Xenopus tropicalis: one gene and its partner. The protein of the gene in region 2 binds, or shares a complex with, the protein of the main gene of each other region. Links are inferred from orthologs where the notes say so. Each region holds a gene or a part of one and is shown on either strand. Other genes may lie near its edges.

What was found. Proteins that work in one complex are often made in the same cells at the same time.
Region 1: the proteins of map2k1 (region 2) and ksr2 are in contact, whole or in part, in a crystal structure (PDB 7UMB), measured with the Homo sapiens proteins. The link is inferred for Xenopus tropicalis from reciprocal best matches to the Homo sapiens genes MAP2K1 and KSR2. Residues at the interface, in NP_002746.1 of Homo sapiens: Val81, Glu102, Met219, Ala220, Asn221, Ser222, Phe223, Val224, Gly225, Thr226, Arg227, Ser228, Met230, Arg234, Leu235, Gln236, Gly237, Met308, Ala309, Ile310, Phe311, Glu312, Leu314, Asp315, Val318, Asn319; in NP_775869.4 of Homo sapiens: Lys674, Arg818, Asp820, Lys821, Leu822, Arg823, Ile824, Gln825, Asn826, Ile837, Arg838, Gln839, Leu840, Ser841, Pro842, Gln877, Pro878, Ala879, Glu880, Ala881, Ile883, Trp884, Gln885, Gly887, Thr888, Met890.

Annotation. Positions count from the first base shown.
Region 1 is NC_030677.2:165,076,578-165,082,632, forward strand, and holds part of ksr2 (kinase suppressor of Ras 2), read right to left. Parts: intron 3,233-6,055; coding exon 3,184-3,232; intron 2,286-3,183; coding exon 1,918-2,285; intron 1-1,917. UniProt on the Homo sapiens protein: Location-regulated scaffold connecting MEK to RAF. Has very low protein kinase activity and can phosphorylate MAP2K1 at several Ser and Thr residues with very low efficiency (in vitro).
Region 2 is NC_030679.2:117,155,933-117,161,987, reverse strand, and holds part of map2k1 (dual specificity mitogen-activated protein kinase kinase 1), read right to left. Parts: intron 4,407-6,055; coding exon 4,196-4,406; intron 4,082-4,195; coding exon 3,935-4,081; intron 3,654-3,934; coding exon 3,576-3,653; intron 3,381-3,575; coding exon 3,329-3,380; intron 2,767-3,328; coding exon 2,642-2,766; intron 450-2,641; coding exon 242-449; intron 1-241. UniProt on the Homo sapiens protein: Dual specificity protein kinase which acts as an essential component of the MAP kinase signal transduction pathway.

The sequences.
Region 1 (6,055 bases), on a different chromosome or scaffold from region 2:
TCTATATATCTGGTTATCTATCTATCTATCTATCTATCTATCTATCTATTGTTACAGGTATGTGTGCTTGTCTATAATGTAGCTTACTAGGTTCTGTTCAAATGCATGTAAGTCTCAGTTGTAAGGCAGGATACATTGTATTTGCTCTGGACATGTTATATCTGCACTAGAAGGTTAGAGTTATCTTCCAAGATCATTGGTTTTTAAATAATGGGATCTTTGTCCCTAAAAGACAAGTTGGCAATAATGAGTTATTGATGCAACCGTGTCTGGAAAATTTATTTTTTCCACATTCTAGTCTATGCATTTGTCAAGATTAAAACAAATAAGCTCTCACTAAAGACTGTTTAAAGGGACAATACTATTTTTTTTAAAAATCCAAGGAGTTAAATTACACTATGTCACACAAGGGTTTAATTGCTGGCTACTCACACTGATAGTGTGATTCAGTGATTCGGTGACTCAGTACCATGTATTTTGACCCCCAAGCAATGCTGTATTGTCCCATATTATTTTCAATAACTAAATGTAACATAACCAGGAACATGATAAACCAAAATATCTAAATAATAAAAATACCAAGCAAATCAGCAAAAGGAACATTAGTGTAGGGCTATTCAAAGCCTGTTCAAAGTGATGTATGAAATTATAATTGTAACACTTACACTAGTAGCAATAGAAATATAAAGAAAAGTGAATTGGCAGCTTATAAAGGCAGTGTTATAAAGAGTTTAATTTCATCATTTTTATTCACATATTTATGCTATTATGGTAAATTAGGTATTTTAAACAGCAAAAACTGCTGTTTCAAGATAATTTAAATAATTGTGGACATCTAGAAAATCCAGCTACAAGACCTTCACTGACTGCATTACCCCAAAATCTGTTTTTAATCAGTAAAGACCACCAACTCTCATTTACTATACATAATTTTTCAAATGATCTGGTAACCCAGAATACATTAAAAATGCAAATCCATTCACACTTTTATAAATGCAAAATCTTATTGCATTTTTATCCCCACATTATACCTATTCCCCTATACTGTTAATCCAAGATTTAAGATTTAAGGTTTACCATTATTAACATTGGCTTAATATTATTATTATCTTCCACTCTATAAACATTGGGCAGCTATAATGTGGTGCACCCACTAATATTTGCAAAGTCATAGCCTAGCCCTCCCATGTACTTCTCTGACATGGATACATATGTTTGTATCAAAAATGCAAAAAAGAAAGACAACATGCAATATGTGCAAGAAGGTATACATTTTATGATCTATAATTCTGGTTGTATATGTCCCCTACGGCAACAAAGATCTGACAGTGCTCTGGACAGCTATCTCCAGGATCTGTGTCCAAAATCAGTAAAGCATCAGCCTTGGAAACATCATCTCTCCTTGTCAAATAGCAAGACATTCTTGATCTGCAGCTTTGATCAGTAATTCTTTATATAGGCAGTACCCTTAGGTCTAGCTTCTTAGGCTTTTCCCTGCACACGGCACTGAAAGTATTTGCATACTGGTAGAACATTGAAAGTATGAGGTGAGAATTATTGTAGCATTACAGTAGCTCCATTACTGGAAATAAGGTCACAATGCTCTGGCAAAAAAAATTAACCTAAAACGTAGCTCTTCTATAGTCATAAACCTGGCAGTAAAAAAATTCAGTAATTTGTTCATTTAATACATCTCAAAATAGATTTAAACAACAGTACATGATTTGTGCACTTTTTTTTTCTTTCTGATAAGGCACTATCATGTTTAACTTTTAAATGTTTGGCACAGTGAAGCCAAGAACACATTCTAAAATTTTTCCTGGTACGGTGCTTAATAGAACATGGCATACAGGAAAAGCTCTTTCTAGTACATGTAGTAAAACAGTGCTCAATACCAAAAAATTAGACTGACATTACCTGGTGATAATTGCTAGGTGTGGTGGGCTCATACACGCTCCCATGAAGAGAACAACATTTTCATGCCGTGTTTGTCTGTAAGCCATTACTTCCCTCTTGAAAGCTTTCAGTTGGTCCTCATTGTCTCTCTCAATGTCAATGAGTCTGATGGCCACTTCCCCATGCCATCGTCCATGATAAACCAAGCCAAATCGGCCTTTGCCAATCATCTCCCCAATTTCTAGCTGTTCAAATGGAATATCCCACTCCTGTAGAAATATGCTGGTCTGACTGGCTTTACGGGGAAAGTTCCTGGCTGACAGCAGTAAGTGGTTCATTTCCTCAAAGTCATCTTCAGACTCTTCTGCTCGTTCATTGCCATCTTCATTCTGTAGGCAGAAGTGAGAATATGCACCAGGTTTATTTGCAAAAAGTATGTTCCTGCTATCGGAGGCTGAAATAAGTGTCCTTTTAAAAGTAGTGCCCTCAGGAACATCTGTTTGAGCTTGCTAAAGCAAAGCTTTGTCTTTTAAGTAATTAAACCTCAAAGTGTAGGACCAATATTATTAATACTTCTTATGATGCTTCCTCAGAAGTAAAAATGAGATTTTTGTATGGATCAAGGACTTTACAAATTAATGTGATAAAGTTTTTCCATTTTTCATTTTCAAATTCACATAACAAATTCATGTAAATAAAAGTTCTTAATTCAATGGAAATGTATAAATAAAAATACATTAAATAAGGGATCTGGTTTTTATACTTAAGTAATTGCTGTCAATTCAAATTTCACAAAAGTTTTTGACAGCATATCAAGAAGTAATAAAATCCTGCTTACATGTTACAAGGACTGAGACTGAACAGGTATTGGATGGTTACCATTATAACTTTCAATAATGTAGTAAGTCTGAATCAATAAACATGAGTTCGGCAGATTACACAGAGTAAACATTAACACAATTAAATGATTGTACTCCTGCCTTCTCATCCATATTCATCACAGATATATGGCTGACATTTTCCAATTACCAGTTCCTTTAATTAGGTACAAAAAAAACTTTAGTCAATATATCTTTTGTTATTTCTCGTTATCAGGGGTGATACTTTTTAACCTGCTTCAACAATGTAGACATTGGCCTTCATTTGCTTTACTACAGTATATCCAAGAGCTGATTGCTGAGTAGTTGCTATGGATTACTACTCTGCAGTAAAAGTACAAGTGTTTTGTGATTTCCCATTAACCACTGAACAACAGCAATTTTTTTCCAGAAACAAGGCAAACCTTACCTCAGACGTTGGCTCGACTTCAATTTGAAGCAATGGATTTCCTTCATTACTACAATACAGAAAATAAGTTTATGAATTATCTGCCTTTACTTCTGTTTAGTAAAAACGAAAAACTGATTTTCAGTAGTAGACTCCACCAGTACTTTTACATGCCGAACCTCTCACAGTTTTCATGTGCATTTGCAAATTGTGTGTAACTTTTTTGTTGTCGTATTTAACATCAGGTCTAAAACCAGAAAATATACAGACATAGGATCTATTATCCAGAATGCTCAGGTCCTTCAGACAAGTATTCTTTTTCCTAATTTGGATTATCATACCTTAAGTCTCCTACAATACATTCGAATTTTAAATAAATTAAATAAGATTGTCATTCTACCAATACTAATGTATGCTATATTAGTAGGACCAAGTACAAGGTACTCTTATTATTACATTGAAAAAGGAAATCATTTAAAAAAAATATTGCTGAAAATTGACTTTATGGGAAATGCCCTTCCCTTAATTCAGAGTTTTCAGCATAAGCATAAGAGATCCCAAACCTGTACTCTATCTCTAAGTAGGGATTTATTAATTTATGAGCAACCTTTCCTACCTTTATGTTATGCCTACATGCTAAACTACTGTGTATGAAGTGCATGTTAAGTCATTAGTAAAGCCTTTCAGTAAAGTCATGTGTATATGCAGGCCTTAAGCGACAGCACTGACTAAGACAAAACAACAATACTGGGCTCATTTACAAATAAAGCTGCATTGCAGGCACATTAACATTGAAGCAATTGTTGCTAGTATTTACACAATTAGTTAAATATACTGAGGTCTGAACACCCTCCTTGCACCAAGCACCAATGCACACTCCCAGTCTGCTCTAAGGAATCGTGTATAAGTGCACCTATTGACACTAGGAAACCCTGGAGTTACCACCAACCTGAATAAGGTTCCCACAGTGGGTTGAATTAATAGACACAGCAGATTTGTATACAAAGAATCACATGCAAACAGCATTTTAACATGGAAATGACACAATCCCAACTCTGACAACTTTTATTCCAGTTCACACAAATGTGCACTACAGGTATGTTCTTTTTGATGCAGTGGGGGCAAATGCAGCAGGCACAAATTCAAATTATGCTGAAATTGTGAGGGAAACATTGCATTATGGGTAAAACATGATTTACTTCTGAAATTGAATTTTGACACTACACTTGCCATCATAAAGGAGTCCTCATATCTTGCACACAATGTAAAACCATGGCAATTTAAGCACATTTTATATGTCTATTGCTTATTGAACCTTTTGGGATTACTAAATCAACATATATTAACATGTTGATTTTTTGCCATTATATTTTTATTTATTGACATCAAAGGGCTCTGCCATTTTGTTTACTCTGTAAAGCAAAGTACAGTCACCCTCAAGCTTCATGAACTATGCCATCAGTCATCAATTTATCTTTATTATCATTATTTAACATGCATAATTTATAAATAAACCATCAATTTGATATTGTAAGCAACACAGTATAACAGATATAATAAGTGCTTATAACATTTCCTGATTGGTGTATAGGGCATTTGCAATGTAAGAAAGTTGCATTGCCAGATTATCTAAGGAGAAAATGGTCCCCTTAACAAAATAGATGGTAGCACTGGGTTAAACCAGGGATCTGGAAGCAGCAAAACAAGATACAGAACTAAATAGAAGAGTTTGGCTTGTACACTGAAATAAGACATGCAGGGAGAAACCTGAGAATGCACTAATAATGAGCAGTAATTTCGGAGATACCAAACCCAATCATTTATCAAGTGAATAAAAAGAAGAAGCATTTTTATGCTTCTGAGAATGGAGATAATGAAGTGTATTGCAGTTCATTGCAGAGAGGCTATAAAAATTGAATAAGTGTAATAATCTTTCTAGATTACCTTTCAAATAAATTTCAACTCCATCCTTAATAGAACATTTAAACCAAACACTACTGTTCTGCTCAAATCTGAGGGCTAGGGACTAGAATCTGGGTAGTAGGTAGTGGAAAATACAACAATAGGAATTACTGCTTCTTGTAGGAAAATACAACACTAGGAATTACTGCTTCTTGTAGCTTCGGCTACAAAAGTAGTAACAGTGCAGCAAAAGTGCTCTACTACAAGCTCTCTGTGTAAATTAACAACATAATAACAATGTATTACTATAAGGAATGATAGGACTTTTTAAAATAATTGTGAAGAAGTGGAGCATCTTACAGTTTTCTGTATATCAAATGGTAAGGTGCAAAATCTACATCTACTAATCAACTGTCTTGAAACCAATTGGCCAATACGACAATTAGCATTATCAGCAGCTGTTATTTTCCAACTTTTGTTATTACTGACAAGCTTTTTCTAGTTACTTTTGTAAGCTGGTAAGACCCTCACTTCTGTAAGAAAGGTACAATCTATGCCCAAGCATGGAAGGGTTGGCCAACAAACAAGATTCAGTTGGATTGCCAAATAGATATAATGCAGAATAGCGTGCCTCTCTGTTTGTATCACTGAGATTTGACCATTATTGCAGCAAAAAAACAGAACAGAACAAAACTAAAGAAGATTCCATTTATTACAGTAGTTCTGCACAAGAGACAAAGCCACTGTGTTGCTTCATATAAACCAAGGATAAACTAAAGCCATAAGCAAACTAAATAATCACTGGGGACATAATGTTATACTTTTTTCCTAACTACAGTTTTTAACTGCACCTCCCCAGGGTGCCACTGAGTTGCCTAGAAAAATCTTGTTATTGTAGGATTTGTTAGGCGACTGATGGTTTCCAATTACAGGGTCTCTTTCTTTTACTAGATCAAAAGTGAATTTCTAGGTGCAGGGAACCAAATAAGCA
Region 2 (6,055 bases):
AGCATTCTTTAAAATATTGTTAATATTTAGACATTGTGGGAGTTGTGGTTCCCAAACAAGCTAATAAATAAAAAGGGTAAAAAGAGTAATGTATGTGCACTGGAAAGTTGCACTTTGTGGAATCACCTGGTTGGCTGAAGAAACCATTCAAAAAGAAAGACAAAGACATGAAAATCCAATGCAATAATATTTAGAAACATATGGAGCCAACCAAAAAAATCGTATTCTGCATATAACTTACAACTGATTGGACGTCCAGGTGGCCGGGGGCGAGGCGCCAGTTCAGAAGATGCCGGGTCCCCTTCTACAGAACACCCAAAGATAAGTTCCAGTTCTTTGGCATCAGGTGGTGGAATGGGATACCTTCCTATGGCCATTTCCACAAGTGACAGCCCCATGCTCCAGATGTCAGATTGCACAGAATAATGAGTGCCCTGTAGCCGCTCCGGCTATAGCATAATGGGAAAGGAAGAGAATTGTCAATACTTTAGATATGCATGTATGCACGATTGGACCCTTTTCTAACAGACCCTGCACTTTAACTCAAGAAAAATTGCATCGCGCCAAATTCCCATAATGGCGACCCTTTCCCATAATTCACAGGCAGTGAAGAGGGAGTGGGGTACAGCTTGGGGCTTATTTCAGTATTAATCCACCCCTACTGAAGATAGATGTACAGAATGTACAAAAGGAAAGAACAAAATGCAAGTATGGATGCAATGCACAGTACTCAGCATGAGCAAAGCAAACTTGACCTGAAAATGAAAATTCTGCTTATTCTTTTCATTAAAAATCTCTAAAGCACAAATTGTTACCCTATTCCCTTGCCCAACTCCTGTAATCAGGATTTTATTTAAATTGATATACAGATATAGGACCCATTATCCAAAATGCTCAGGACTTGGGGTTTTCCAGATAAGGGGTCTTTCCGTAATTTAGATCTCCATACCTTAAGTCTACTAAAAATAATTAAAACATTAATTAAACCCAAAAGGATAGTTTCAACTCCAATAAGGATTAATTCTGTCTTAGCTGGGATCAAGTACAAGGTACTGTTTTATTATTACAGAGAAAAGGGGAAACCAAATTTAAAATTTTGAGTGAGTTTATTAAAATGGAGTCTATGGGAGATGGCCTTCCCATAATTTGGAGCTTTCTGGGTGATAGGTTTGCGGATAATGGATCCCATACCTGTAGTAAGTACCTCTTGCTACCCCAGGTTGGTGTCCATTTTTCTGGTTCTGTGTGTGTGTTGTAGAATGTAATTTTCTAAGAAAATTTTGTTTTTTTTACAACTGCTTAGCTTTTTGTTAAGCAACTTTTCAGTAGGGTCGCCACCTTTTTTTGGAAACACCAGGCTTCCTATATTTTTAACTTTTTTCCCCTTTTAATAACATTGGCATAAAGCATCATTTTTACTGCCCAGGCTGGTAAAATAGTGGCCATGTGGCAACCTTACTCTCCAGTTTGGATCCTAGAAGCCAGATAGCTGTTGAAAGTCCAATGTACCTTGGTAACCAGGCAGTGGTTTGAATTAGAGACCAAAGAACAAATAGGAAAGGGCCTTGATAGAAAAAGAAGTCATAAAAAGTAACTCGGAACAACAGTTTTTTCCCCCATTTGAAAGGTGAAAGAGAAAGGTAAACAATTTAAAAACTATAAAGGAAACAAAGGAAAAGAATGCAAAAAGGCTGCTAATAGGACATTCTATTCTTCTGAAAATTAACTTGAGATTGAATTACCCATATCAACTTCCTTTTACTACTTCCACAATTGTTCTGAAGACCTAAGAAAGTTAGCAAACGGAAGTACTTTATTTGTTCTGCACTAACTGCTGCAAGGTGCACAGAACAGGGCTATTAACAAATTCCTTGCTTTTGAGTCTGCATTACTTCATGGGTACCAAGATGACTTACCTGGTTATAGGAGTTCCTCCCTAACTTATACATCTATATCCACCCCTACACACATACAAACCTTTGTAACTGACCAAGTGTATATGCACTTTGCTTTGTAGCATTACATAATATATACACCATCTGTAATGTAGTAATTAGGGCAGACTCCTTCCAGAATACAAAGAACAAGCATCACCACCCCCAACAGCCAGAATGTGACGAGCTGTAATTACAAACACACACACACACACACACACACACACACGGAGCATTGCACAGTGTGGGAGGGCATTCTCCATCTGCTGCCTGACACACAGTGTGAACACACGTGACTCTGTGCAGAGTGCAGTCGATGCATAAACACATAACATGGCAATAGGAGATCAGCTCCAATGACTGTAACATGTTTCAAATGTATATTTACCTGAAAAATTCACACATTATTGCAAATTCACCATGGAAGGGGTAGGACCATGTTTATTAATATACATTGAGAAAAATGTGGTGTGTTATGGTTTGGGACCCTTGGGGTGTTCAGATCCTAAGAGCAGTAAGATGTATATCAAAGTGAATCTGCCTCAAATAATAGAAACAGCTTTACAAAACCCTTACATGACTACAATTAAATTAATGTACATTTCGTATTTGGGAACCCCTGTGCAACATTGTATTTTCACAAGCACTTAAGAATAGCTGTCACTGAACATATGCTCTGGGGTGAAGAGGAACTGGAGGACACTTACTGACATATAGGATCTTGTCCCAACAAAGGAATTTGCCATGGAGTCTATTAGCTGCCCGCTGACTCCAAAGTCGCAGAGTTTTATCTCTCCCCTAGAGTTGACTAGGATGTTAGAAGGTTTCACATCTGCAAAACAAACAAAAAAAAAAAAATGACTTTTAAAAGGGACATATACCTAACCCAATAACGGAATGTAAAATTGGTAAAAGTGTGTGGGGGCTGGGTAGAATGGCAAAGCTTATTTTATTGAAGCAGGAAGCCTCTCTTGATGCTTTCCTGTTCAGTTCTATTGCTTAGTGACAGGATCAATAGAACACATCCTGATTCAGAAAATAAAGCTAATGTTGTTTAGCAAGGTTGTTACTAAAGAAAATAATAACATTGCAAAGGGGCTCATAAAAGCACTTTGAGCTATTAAACATTAAGATTTACGTAGGGTATATGCCTTTATGCTACTGGAAGCACATTATTTCTCCTCAAACACCTAATCCTAGTTAATAGGAGACATCTCTCTATATAAAGCCATTGTGGTTGGCATGGCACCATTAGTGCTACAGTGAGTTTTTTTTATTGTTACGCTATAACAGCGGTTTTCAATACAGAATGATCTTTCCGGTCCTAAGCTGAACATTTTAAAAGGCGTTATACATCAATGAGTCAATGAGGGCCCTTCCATATAGAAACTTACCTCTGTGCATTATCTTATGCTTCTCTCTCAGGTAGGTTAGACCTTTTATCACCTGCAGTTAGAAATGGATATCAGAATTTGACAGGAGCAAGTGTAACACATGACATTAAAACTTGTAGTATAAATTACAGCTTTTACTTTCCAGGATGCCCTCTATATGAATGAGCATATAATTGGAAGGATTTGATTTTGTTGGATAGTTTTCTTATATATATAAATCACAAATTTGCATTTGCTAAATACTCACTGCAATGCTGACTTTTCCCAAAATTTTCTCAGGGATTTTGCCAGCTTTCTTCAAAACCTGATCAAGGGAGCCTCCATCCTGCAGGGGCAAAAAATAGAAGATCAAGCAAAGAAAATACAAGTTTACACACAGGCCGATTAGTTGCCGCAACTTTTAATTAAGCCAGTAAGACTTTTCAAAGCAGCGACTAATCGCCCTGTGTGTCTTCGCCCTAAAGGTGTACACCTTGTATAGATACAGTCCTGAGTGTATCTGATGCCTCAGCTAATGACTAGAGCACAGTTTAAATCTCCTTATCATTAGCTCATTATCCCAAAGGCTCTGAGCTCTGGCCTTTCAAGTCCCTCCCTAATTCTCACCATGTGTTCCATACAAATGCTGATCTCTCCGTCACTGTAGAAGGCCCCATAGAACCCCACAATGTATGGGGAGTTACATTCATGCAGAACCTGCAACTCTCGGATAATCTGATTTCTGATTGCAGGCTTTATCTCCAGATGAATTAACTGCCAGAAAATAATAGAATATGTCAATCATTGTATTCTTATGCACAAATTAATAACAAATTCACGTTTTCCTTCTGTCTTTATTTCTACTTAAACTCCATTCAAAAATCTCACCTTCCTGGCCATAATCAAGCTAGTCGGCTTGTGGGACACCTTAAACACCACTCCTCCATTGCCTGCTCCAAGCTCCGACACTTTCTCAAAGTCATCATCCTTCAGCTCCCCAACTTTCTGCTTCTGGGTGAGAAAGGCCTCTAGACGCTTCCTCTGCTGCTCATCCAGCTCCAGCTCTTCCAACTTTTTCTGCAGAGCTTCAAGGTTTGTCCTACAAAGAGAAAAGGAAAATAAGAAATCTCAAAGGAGTTTTATGATTCTATAAAAGCAGTGATCCCCAACCAGCTGCTCGGGGACAACATGTTGCTCACCAACCCCTTGGATGTTGCTCTCAGTGTCCCCAAACCAGGTAGTTATGTTTGAATTCCTGACTTGGGGGCAAGTTTTGGCTGAATAAAAACAAGATTTAGCACCAAATAAAGCCCCCTGTAAGCCGATAGTGTGCATTGAGGCTACCTAATGGCCAATCTCTGCCCTTATTTGGCACCTCCATGAACTTTTATGGTGCTTGTGTTGCTTCCCAAGCCTTTTTACATTTGACTGTGGCTAACGAGTAAGAAAAGTTGGGGACCCCTGATAAAAAGGATCAGGGTTGCAGGACATGTGGTTTCACTTTATGGGGTCTGAGCTGACCTGTAATATCAGCTCAGACGTTCTTTTAATACACAGTTGTGTTGGGCACAAGTGGCATTGATGGAGAGATAGATAGGATTTATTCACGGAATTCATAATACTGCGTATTAAACACCGGTGTCACCAGCTCATTTGCCTAGGTATAAACAATTAGCAGCCCACAGTAAGAATGCAACCTACAGCAGAACCACCATGATAGCAAAGCTATGCACTTTAGTCATTTTGCACCAACTGCATTTACCCTACATAGCCTTTTTATCTAGCTAGTAATGCAGACATATTATATCATAGAAAAATATACACATTTTAAATAAAGGAAGGAAAAGCCTTTTTCTGCAGTTACTCTCGTGTAACCATGACAACTCCACTTACAATTATTAGAGTCCTTATTCCCATGGCAATGTATGCTCAAATCCATTACAATGGTGTTCTACACAAAAGAGTTAATTATCTATGCATTGTGTTATCCCAGGCGGATTATCACACACCTGACCACGGTTAATAAGGATCAGTACTTACTGATGGGAACTGTCAAGCTCTTTTATGCGGCACTGAGCAAGCCATGGCATAAATACCCCAACCTCTCTACCTGGGTCTACTTAACCTCATTTTACTTTATAATTCCCATGGACCCGATGGAACATGACATTATGATATAGCTGACCAATGAATAGTGACATAAGTAGACCACATATAGTAAGAAGGTCTTTGTGAGTTATAAAGGCTGTATTGTACTAGACAAGTACAACAATGTAACTGCTAATTACTTTATATGGGTTACAGGATTCTAATTAACCTTTAAAAGACATGGAACCCAGTTCATTTTGCCTAACCCTTTTTATTCCTTGACATACCTTGGTACAAAAAAAAAAAAAACAAAACAAAAAAAAACCCACCACGCAAGAATAACCTCTCAGACCATCTAAAACCATAAATGTGCAATCTGTGGTCCTTTGTGTGATGTTGTTGAGTTGTTTGCTTTTGACTATTGTAGGGGTTCAGAGAGTTTTGGTTCAACAACATGTAGAGGGCCACAGGTTGTCAGTGTCATTCTAATAAGATACAAATACAAGCTGCAATTCTGTCCAAGTTTTTGATATAGGAGGCCAAGAGTGTGATACTTTGTGTGCTGGGCAGGGGGGTTATATTATATAAATTATGCCTTAGAAAGAGGCCTGTAGAGCCTGTGTGAAACCTGGGGCAGGGCATAAGGGAATCAAAGTATGG